Linked DNA regions of Mus musculus: all the other regions are reported to be linked to region 2. The links are microRNA targets in miRTarBase. Many come from high-throughput screens and were not tested one by one. Region 2 holds a microRNA gene; each other region holds the end of a gene's coding sequence. Distances are between the middles of the regions.
What was found. The annotated mature microRNA mmu-miR-291a-3p reads AAAGUGCUUCCACUUUGUGUGC and lies in region 2 at 1,332-1,353, opposite strand. An mRNA with a match to its seed (bases 2 to 7 or 8) in the 3' UTR can be bound and repressed. Matches are read on the target gene's strand: a 7mer-m8 pairs with bases 2 to 8, a 7mer-A1 pairs with bases 2 to 7 and ends in A, and an 8mer does both.

Region 1: miRTarBase lists Zfp568 as a target of mmu-miR-291a-3p. Seed matches in the 3' UTR shown: 7mer-m8 at 2,177-2,183.
Region 3: miRTarBase lists Dkc1 as a target of mmu-miR-291a-3p. Seed matches in the 3' UTR shown: 7mer-m8 at 1,940-1,946.

What each region holds. Positions count from the first base shown.
Region 1 is chr7:30,022,854-30,026,423 of GRCm38, forward strand. Zfp568 (zinc finger protein 568) reads left to right here. Exons shown (of 10, transcript NM_001167872.1): 10 at 1-3,570. The coding sequence ends at 794. Among named protein-coding and RNA genes, the nearest start is that of Zfp14, 27 kb to the right of the region's middle.
Region 2 is chr7:3,216,719-3,220,320 of GRCm38, reverse strand. It overlaps Mir291a (microRNA 291a), which reads right to left and starts at 1,402; the gene lies at 1,321-1,402. It overlaps Mir290a (microRNA 290a), which reads right to left and starts at 1,695; the gene lies at 1,613-1,695. Mir290b (microRNA 290b) reads left to right here and starts at 1,626; the gene lies at 1,626-1,683. It overlaps D7Ertd143e (DNA segment, Chr 7, ERATO Doi 143, expressed), which reads right to left and starts at 1,537. Exons shown (of 1, transcript NR_028425.1): 1 at 1-1,537. It also overlaps Mir292, Mir292b, Mir291b and a transcript of Nlrp12 not described here.
Region 3 is chrX:75,107,794-75,111,363 of GRCm38, reverse strand. It overlaps Dkc1 (dyskeratosis congenita 1, dyskerin), which reads right to left. Exons shown (of 15, transcript NM_001030307.2): 14 at 3,060-3,185; 15 at 1,588-2,668. The coding sequence ends at 2,603. Mpp1 (membrane protein, palmitoylated) reads left to right here. Exons shown (of 12, transcript NM_008621.3): 12 at 521-1,631. The coding sequence ends at 697. Among named protein-coding and RNA genes, the nearest start is that of Gm25520, 8.2 kb to the right of the region's middle.

The sequences.
Region 1 (3,570 bases), 27 Mb from region 2:
TTCACCATAGAGTTCACACTGATGAGAAGTGCTTTGAATGCAAGGAGTGCGGGAAAGCCTTCATGCGCCCATCACACCTGCTCCGGCACCAGCGCATCCACACTGGGGAGAAGCCTCACAAGTGTAAGGAGTGCGGGAAGGCCTTCCGCTACGACACACAGCTCAGCCTGCACCTGCTCACGCATGCTGGGGCACGGCGCTTTGAGTGTAAGGACTGTGACAAGGTGTATAGCTGTGCCTCCCAGCTCGCTCTCCACCAGATGTCACACACTGGGGAGAAGCCCCACAAGTGTAAGGAGTGTGGGAAAGGCTTCATCTCTGACTCACACCTTCTTCGCCATCAGAGTGTTCACACTGGCGAGACGCCCTATAAGTGTAAGGAGTGTGGCAAAGGCTTCCGTCGTGGTTCAGAACTTGCCCGGCATCAGAGAGCCCATTCTGGCGATAAACCCTACAAGTGTAAGGAATGTGGAAAGTCCTTCACTTGCACCACAGAGCTCTTTAGACATCAGAAAGTTCACACTGGTGATAGACCCCACAAATGTAAGGAGTGTGGGAAGGCCTTCATCCGAAGATCAGAGCTGACACATCATGAAAGAAGCCACAGCGGTGAGAAACCCTATGAGTGCAAAGAGTGTGGAAAGACCTTCGGCCGAGGCTCAGAGCTCAGTCGACACCAGAAAATCCACACCGGTGAGAAGCCCTATAAGTGCCAGCAATGTGGGAAGGCCTTTATTCGTGGCTCTCACCTTACCCAACATCAGAGGATTCATACAGGACGGAGGAGTGAATGAGTTGCCATCAGAAAATCCATACAGTTTAAAAACCCTGTGGTGGATAACAATGTGGGAAGACAACGAGATACAGGGTTTCTCATTGGTGCTAGAATTCATACTCAAAAGACCCGTTAGGTCCAGAAGTGATGGAACACGTGTTACAAGAAAGAAACCTTATAACTCCAGAAATTGGAGGGGGCTACTTGTTTCAGAATTTATCATAAGGCTTTTGTTGATGAAAAACTCTTAAGTTCCATGAATGTAAAGGAAGGAGGAATGCCTCTCAGTGGCCTGGAGCCAAACAAGCAGGCCTCGGGATTCATAGCAGGGACAAGCTGAGGAGGGCAGTGTGTGTGTCCGAGAGATTAGCAGTTGGAACCTTTCCACACCCACACCCGGGCCAGCCCTCCGAGGAGAGAAGTCAGTCGTTATACTGCATAATCTCTGTGATACCTCAGGCTGCACTTCTGCTAAAACACAGCACACTCGCCATTCATCCCACTCTACGCTCATGGAATGTTTGCTACTTTATAAAGCCATTTGGACTGCGGAGTGTGGAAAGGACATGCTAACTTTTTACATGTCCTCATGATTCAGGGCAGGTTATTTACCAACTATTCTTTTCTTCTGTGGGGTAGCAGTGTTAGCCCCGTGTTTCTAGTTACGCTTTGAGGTTGTGTGTAGATTGTGGAATAGCATCCAGCTAGTATCTAAAGTGTGCCAAGTGCAGCAGGCATGCTGTTCCACGCAATATGAGCATCTGAAGCCAAAGGTAGGAGGGAGGATCACAAGTTGAGGCTAGCTTGGAGACTCTCTAGTAAAACAAACAAACAAACAAAAATTATAACAAATATAGCTGCTTTCTTTGTTATTTTCATAATAGTGAACTTTTACATAAACTTTAACAGTCTTAAAGAGGAAAGCCTTATATGTCCAGTAACTGGAGGGACATCTTGCCTTGTCCCTTTGACTGTTACAGAATTCTTATGAAGAAAGACTTAAAGCTTTCGTTCTTAGTTTACCCTTCTGCTGGTCAGAAGCGTCAGAACTGGAATGTGGTGAGGTCAGTATGAGAAGGGGCTGGAGGAATTGCTAAAGCCTCTGAGTGAGGAGTGGTGCTACACACAGCCTGTAATCCCAGCCCTCGGGAGGGGAGCACAGGACAGGGATTCAAGTCCATCCTGGTCTACCTAGTTAGTTAGGGGGTAGCCTGGACAACATGTGTTGCAGTCTCAGAACTTTCATAAGCAAAAGCCATGCCATGGATCTGTGCACTAGAGAACTGGAAAACAGTAAAGCTTTAGCTAAGACCCAAGCCTCCATAGAGAGTGTTAAATGCCTATATAAAGACATCTATATCTAAAGGTCCAATAGGTGTGGTAGCGCATACCTTTTATCCCAGCACTTGGGAGGCAGAGGCAGGCAGATTTCTGAGTTCGAAGCCAGCTAGGGCTATATAGAGAAACCCTGTCTTGAAAAACCAAAAAAGAAATTTGTACACTGTGACTGAAACTATACTCTGAGAAAAATGACCTTCCCTTCATCTTTGTAAACAGTGGGGGTTGGAAGGTCTAGGACTCTGTATTTATTGTTTATACAGTACTGTTACAGTGCCTAGTCCTGGTAATTCCCAGTGAGTATTCTAAGTAACAGAAGAGCAAATAACTACTCAGCTCCAACAGAAAAGAAACTAACAAAATTCAACTTGGCAAAACTAAACCTTGGAATAGGTGAGACGCACACAGTGTTGTACAGGAGATGAGGCTCTTATGAAACAAGGCTTGAATGAGCAGAGCATAGGTTCTACCTGTCGACAGATGTTAGCCATGCTCCTGCAGTGTTATGGCCCTGTGATTGGTTCTGGCTGTGCCCTTGGTCTCATGTGTGACTGACTGGGCAGTAGACCATCATGGGCTTAGTAACAAGATCCAGGGGCATGGTCTTCCCGGCTGCAGGGAGCACATCTGTGCCACCAGGTGGTGCCTGCTTTCTGAGGCTGAGACTGCCATAGAACACACATTGTCACCGACATTGTGGTGTCATGGAACCATGACCTCGCCTTCTCCTGGACCTACAGAATAAGAAATGCAGACACTGAAAATTAATACTCAACTCTTTACAGTATACATAACACTGAGAAATTTAGCATTTAAAAATATTTTTACTCAGATGTATTCAGCTTCAGGAACATATTTTATGTTTGTATTCTGCCTTTTATAGTATATCTGACAATGAAAAGCATTATTTTCCAAATTATTTTCTTAGCCATATTATTGAAATATATATTCAACTTCAATTTAGTAAGATGTAGTATATTTTCTTAGAGTATTTGATAGTGTGTTTTTATATTCTGCTTTTATAGTGTATCTTAAATCCTAGAAAAGTATTTTCCTGAATGAAGTTAGAGCCAAGGAGAAGCTGCTTAAGGAACTACACTCGTTCCCCTAACACTGAGCCACTTGACAGCTGAGACACCTTCTACCTCTTCAATGTGGAAAAGGGCGGCAGCATCTAAAGTCACGTCGGTTAGTTGCCAGTCCACGGCCTTAGAGGACTTTGTGATTACAGCAGCGTGTAGTATCAGCAGCCCAGTAATTGAGCGGTGTGGTGCTTTGTGCAAAGGACTTTGGTTGAAGTGCTAATGAGTGAGTGAGAGAGGACTCTGCAGTCACTGGAGACTAGCAGAGCCTGCTGTGAAGGTCCTTGTCCTTCCTCTTGGTCTGCTCTCTCCTGGAGCTCATCTGCCCCGCCCTGCCCATCATCTCAATGAGGAGGGAAAGCTGCTAATTACTAA
Region 2 (3,602 bases):
TGGTAATAAACCTGAAACTTTATAGTCAGTTCTTAGCCAGACCAGCCAGCCAGGCAGGTTGAAGGCAAGTAAGTACCCCAGGCTAGGCAGGATTACATTCAACTCAACTGGAACACCTGAAAAACAAAGAGAATCCATGAAGATTATGCTTAGGGCACACAATGTAACACCTGTAATCCCAGCCCTCATGAGCCTGGGCTATTGTAAAGCCAAAAGGTATTATGGGTATTATCTACCCGGCTGTCCACCAAGCTTGTTTGTGCTAGGAGCCAGGTTAAAGTCAGCTACAGCCAGCAGGTCCTAAAAATTCAATCCAACCATATCAAGACTCACAACCATCAGTCCAACTACAGTAGTCAAGCAAGATATAGCAACTACAGTAGTCAAGCAAGATATATAGGATCTTTTAATCCCAGGTGGATGGAGCTGAGGCCAGGCTGGTCTACAAGTGAGTTAGCTCCAGGACAGCCAGGGCTACAGAGAAACCCTGTTTGGAGAAAAAGGAAAAAAATTGAAAGAGGACTTAATATGGCGGCCACGTGAGATTTAAAAGTAGGCCTTTCTTTACTCAGACCTGAGGCTTAGACTCACCACCCCTGGACCTGGAGTGCCTCCTTCCACCCTGCCCTGCTTCCTCCTCACCTCCAGCCTTGCAGCTCGAGTAGCCAGTGGCAACGAATTCACCTCCAGCACACATACCTGTTTCAAGCAGGTAAGCGATTCCAGGTTGCAGCTGCAGCCGGCTTTTCAGACGCCATGTACACACAGAGACAAACAAAATGGATGCACTTTCCCGCCAAGCCGCGGAGAGGGCCTCCACTTTGATCGACACTGTATGTTCCAACTTCCAAGACCTGAGGCTCAGCTCCTCCGAGCGAGGCCCATGTGGGATCCCGGCTCCTTTATGAACGCGGAAAGCCTTTAGTACCGCATGCGCCCAAGTGTTCGGACTCAAACCCACATGTGACACCCACCTGCCCAGAAATGCAACCCCAGTGAAAACATGACCCACTAAAACTTAATTCTTAGTTCTTAGCCGTTTTGAGTTCTCAACCGGTGACACTCAAAACCTGGCGGCACTTTTCTTCCGATGAAAATCCAAAAGAGCCCCCAGTTTGAGTATCACAGGCTGGAGGTCAAGCTTAAGAACAATCTACAATGCACCTGGACTCACGACTGCCTTACATCCATCCGCGTCTCGTGGCACCCAACTGAACCGCCCTCTTTAGGATAGGACCCATTAAACTCCAAGCCTAAACCCCCACACAGGTTGTCCGCTCCTGTAAACCGATGCGTCAGATGCAAAGCTATGATGTTTTCCCCATGCAGTGGCACACAAAGTGGAAGCACTTTCTCATTCAGGCTCAAGAGAGGGCCTCCACTTTGATGGCCGCTACATAGGTGTAACAGCTCCAAGCAGCGACAGGACGCACATGGAGCCCCCAGGTACCCTACAACGACCACCTCAGTTACCGTCTACTGGGCAGGATGCCCATCCCTAGCCTTTCGCTATACTCAGTCTCATTCCTTTCTTCGAATCCGTACTCACCACGCTGCAGTTAACCCGGAACACGTGGCACCAGGGCTGGTAAATGTGCCAGATAGCCGTTTTCTCAACCGGCGGGGCTTAAAACTAGGCGGCACTTTTTAAAGAAAAAAAAAAGTGCCCCCATAGTTTGAGTACCGCAAGATGAGGCGGTCCAGACGTTAAAACATTTACCAGGAGGAAAGAACGTGGAGAACTTAAAATTCACTCCAACCTGAAGGAAACCTGGATGAAATCAAGGAAGAGTTAGTACATCGGTCTAACTCAAGGTATAGTGAAACTCAAAATTTCTACAATGAAACCACGTAGTTAATGAAATGTACTGCATAGACTCCCTAGACCTGCCCTCAGTAACTCCTAGCTTTGGTTTCTGGTCCCCAAACTTCACTCGCGCCCAGACTACTCACTTTCCCCACATAGGCTCGTTCCTCCCTTGAAATTATGTAGACCAAGTCAGAAAAAAAAGCCCAACTCTTTTTCCACACACATTAGTTCTAAATGTCTTCTTTGGAGACCAGACCAACCTCAGATGGGCCTGCCTCTGCCTCGGGATTAGTAAACCCAGCCAAACCGTGGGGGCGAGCGAGGAAGGCTGAGTTCGCGGCTAGCCTGCCTTTTAAAAAAGGGGCTCTAGTTTTTAAAAAGTAGAATGAAGATGGCCGTGATGACCTTTAATCTGGAGGCAGAGAGGCAGGCAGAAATGAGAGTTAAAGGCCAGCCTGGCTAGTCATCTCCAAAGTTGAAGCAGGAAGATCTCTCTTCTGGAAATCCTGGATCTACTTTCGCCTCTCTAAACCAGGTAGATTAAAACCACAGAACTGAAGGAAATAAAAAATCTGAAACTAAAAATATTACCTTTGCCTATGTGAGAAGCAGCACGCCGGAGGTATCCCTGAAGACCGCAGAGACCAGCATTCCCGATGTGGAGTAGAAGTCTCTGAGAGGCGTGGGGGAGGCTCTAGGTTCTTATATAGTCTGAAGGCTCATTGGCCCCCTGGACTGGGAGGCTCTGATACCCCTCCCCCACCCCGGAGAATCCTTACTCTACCACCCTGCTTCCTCTGAGCTGAGTTTCCCTGCGGCAGAGTGACCTTCACTGGTTTCTTCTCCCCCCCACCCCCCAGAGGAAACAGATTTCTTTGTTTGTTTCTAGAAGCAGCGCCTTTAATCCTATAGTTTTCTAGGCCGAGGCTGGAGGATCTTTGTTAGTTCAAGGCCAGCTTGGTCTACTATGGTGACTAGGCACGGGACTAGGCAGGGCTACATTCAGTATTAAGATAATAATAAAAATAAATAAAGGAAGAATGTGGGAGGTTCAGTTTATTCTTTCGTTTGAATTTTTTTTAAATCCAGAGTTTCAAATCCTCCCTCTTTTTTACCTTTCTTTCTTTCTTTCTTTCTTTCTTTCTTTCTTTCTTTCTTTCTTTCTTTCTTTCTTTCTTTCTTTCTTTCTTTCTTTCTTTCTTTCCCACACTGAATATGAAGGTCCAAGAACAATATGATAGAGTTAGTTTTCTCCTATGCTTAAATATGTTTTTTTTGGGGGGGAGGGGGTTCAAGACAGGGTTTCTCTGTGTAGCCCTGGCTGTCCTGGAACTCACTCTGTAGACCAGGCTGGCCTTGAACTCAGAAATCCGCCTGCCTCTGCCTCCCAAATGCTGGGATTAAAGGCGTGTGCCACCATGCCCGGCTGTTTTTCTTTTGTTATTATTATTGTTGTTGTTATTATTATTTATTAAATATCTTTAAATAGCTCCATGGATTGAAATTAGGTCTCCAGGCGGCAGGGCTAAAGCTACAGAGGCATATTGCAGACTTGGAGTTTAGGGTTTGTTTGTTTGTTTGTTTGTTTTTTGGAGACAAGGCTCAAGTACGCCAAGCTGGCCATAAGCTCATTAAATAGCCAAGAATAATTTAGGACTCCTAAGTCTACACCTTGTGTGTGTGTGTGTGTGTGTGTGTGTGTGTGTGTGTGTGTGTAATGGAACATTTTTAAAAAATTAATTTAATTTTTAAAAATGTATTCACCCTACATCCTACTCACTGCCCCCCTCCA
Region 3 (3,570 bases), not on the chromosome of region 2:
TATATCTGGCCATATCCTTAGCTCATGTTTCCATTGAGTTAGTGACTTCATCTAAGAATTCTATATTATGGTACTTCCCTGTAATGAAAGTTACAAATATCCCCACCACCACTATGACACATATTTCTCTATCCTTTTGCCTTTATGTAGTTAACTGACCATTGGAGCCAGAGGCTTGAGACTTGTCAATAAACTTTCTCCCTTATCCTTGGATTATAGCTGTAGTAGTTGCTAAAATGGCTTTTCCATAAACAAAGGGCTAAAACTAAGTGAATGCTAGTGAAGGCTGTGCTAGGTAATTAGGGTTAGTTTGGCATTCATTAGAATAGTTAAGTGGTTCTCAACCCCTTTGGCAAACATTATATTCTTAATTGGTTACCTAGCAGATACTAGGCCACAGGATGGATCACCACCATGCAAAAAAACAGATGGGGAACCAGTTAATGTAAACTTGTTTAAATCTTCCCTTTGCTGCTGTGATTAAAGACTGCTGCTTCATCTATGGCTTTCTTCTTTGCAGACTGAAGCCCTGCAGCAGCTGCAGAAGGACTCTGAGGCCATCCGTAGTCAGTATGCTCATTACTTTGACCTCTCTTTGGTGAATAATAGTGTTGATGAAACTCTTAAGAAATTGCAAGAAGCCTTTGACCAGGCTTGCAGTTCTCCACAGTGGGTGCCTGTCTCCTGGGTTTACTAAGCTTACAGAATTGGCAAACATGTTTCAGCCAGCATTTGGAATGCCACCTCCCCGCACCCCCTCCCTTGCTTAAGCCAAAAGGGTTGCTTCAACTTTTAGCTCTGCTGTTTTCTTACTCAGGCTCCTAAAGGGGTGAAGCTTTCCTACTATCTACATTTCAAAATGATCTCTGGAAAATTGCCATAAGAATAACCAAATGCAATGCTACATAGATAAACCAACTGTCCCCCTGAAGCCTGAGCTCCTTTGCTTTCAACTATAGAATGTCTTTTTACTCTGGAATAAATATCTTCTGAAAACTTTCTAAAATGCCAAAATCAAACAGCTGTGCAATAGAATGTCTGCTGTAGGGAAAATCTTCCAAAGCAATAAAAATGCTGCTGTGTTAAAGTACCCGTGACCCTGTAACTCCATTCCCAATCTTAACCTTCCAAGCAATGACATTAACATAAGATCTCTGGGAATTACCTGTCACTGCCTCTATAGGTCTGGTATTCACAATGCACAAAGGCGTCTTCTCTAGGACTTGTTAAGTCGTAAGAGAATGGTTTAAAACATGTTACAAAAGCAGGGGCTGTTTGGGCATTCTATACCTGCCTATGCTATTAACAATTTCCCCTAAAACTTGTGTTTATATTCTTGGTTTTGGGCACATATTTAAGCAAAGTTCCCTGCTCCCTCTGCAGTCAACACCAAAACTGGCAGTTTCCTACCTGGAGTACCTCCAACCTCTTCACAAGCCCAGTACAATATAAATGCATCTACCCCTTTCCTCTTAACCCTGGATTAGTAATGATCTCCCTTGAGAGCAGATAGGCCCCAGTGCCAATGTAAGAAAGACTCAGAATTAGGAAATTTAAAAGTAGCCAAAGGAAAAGCAAATTCAAAATAGGACATAAACCTCAGACTTTTAATAAAAATATTCTCTCACTTTTGTTGCCAGTCCAAGATTATCATAGTAAATCTAACAGGAATACTTTTTAAAAAAAAAAAAACTACAAATTACATTCTTCAGCAATGAACAATTCCATTCTGAACAATTCCATTCTTTTTTTTTTCTTTTTTTGTTTTTTTGTTTTTTTTTTTGTTTTTTTTGTTTTTTGGTTTTTTTGTTTTGTTTTTTGTTTTTTTGGTTTTTTTTTTTTCGAGACAGGGTTTCTCTGTATAGCCTGGACTGTCCTGGAACTCACTCTGTAGACCAGGCTGGCTTTGAACTCAGAAATCCACCTGCCTCTGCCTCCCAAGTGCTGGGATTAAAGGCATGCGCCACCACGCCCGGCAATTCCATTCTTTAAAAGAAAACAAATAGGAAGGTACAGGAATGCTTTGGCTTCCATAAGAAACACAAGTAGCCATATAGAGAAATCCTGTTGTACACAAAAATACAGAGTACTAGCCTAAATATCATAGATACCACCAGGCAAGGTTAATACCTGAATAGAGCAGTCCTCATAGAACACTGGAGATAAGAGTCCCCCAGTGAACATAGTTCAATTACATTTTTTCTCTCACAGAAGGTTCTATACCATTTTATGTAGCAGATTTAATTTTTACCAACTTTTTAAAAAGCAAAGTAGGAGAGGACTATCTATGGCATTGTTGAAAATGCTCATTAGTAAATAGCTGCAGATAGTTACTAGGCCATGCCATGTCTAAAGGTGTGGCTTCCTCAAGCAAGCAGAGGGGTTGGTGGCAAAGGCCTGATTTTATCTCTCATATCCTTAAAACAGGACAGGATGGGATGAGATGGCCACACCAGCTAACCACTGAGGTCACAAGTGGCAGCTAAAAGTATACCAGAACTTTCTACTCTGGGACCTCTGTTCTCCCTCAACAAAAAGTTTTTCCAATAAGGCTTTTCTTTTTCTTCCCAGCTGGACATAATGCTTCCAGAAGTGGCTTAAACTATTCAGACATCTCTTCTACCACTTTTACTTTCTTCTTCTTTTTCTTTTTGGTGGTGTCGTTGTCCTAAAGAAAGAGAAAGTAAAAGTAAGTTCAATGTACCCACTGACAAAACATTTATGACTACTGTTCCCAAAAGAAATCTGACAAATTGCACAGTCAAGTCTGTTCAAAAATCTAAGACATTTGGGGTTAAACAAATTTTGCCTGTGACCTTCTCGGTGAAGTCTTAGAGAGATCTACTTAATACACCTTCCCTACCCAGCAGCAACATAATTCAACCATGATCCACTGTTCTGAAAGGCTGGGTGCCCCTACTTCTGTGTCCAAGAAGGTAGACAAGGCAAATCTAGAACACAGGGCAGCACCAAAAAAGGCAATGGTAGGAACCCCACTCTCGCACAATTCCTGTCAAAGACTCAGCTGACACAAAGGCACACCCATGGTTCACACATACCCCATCTCCAGTTTCGCCCCCACTTTCTAGCACAGTTTTGGGCTTCTTATCCTTCTTCTTCTTCTTTTCCTTCAACTGGGGAACTGTTGGGGTCTCATCACTTTCACTCTCACTATCCCGCTTCCTCTGTGTAAAAAAAATTCACATGAAGTTAGAAATGTAGGAAGTTACCAAGAAAGATTCCACGTATATTCAATGGTTTTGTGTCTATAAACTTGAATAGTGTCTGATTTTCTAAAGATTTGAAGACAGTATCTCACTAAATAAAAAATATAGTAAGCCATGGGGCATGATGAATGTGCCAAAGCAGCGTTGCGTATAAAAGACCCTGAGAAATTGTCTCAGTGAGCCAACTCCAAGACTTAAGGTGCTCTTTGACAACTTGCAAGTTCCACCCATATAGCTCATTACTAGTCACTCAAGACAGCAAACATACCATTTGGGGCTCTAATGACAGTGGCCCCCAGCCTTGGTTACTACCACATGCTTCACTCTTGTCCTTTAAACAGTG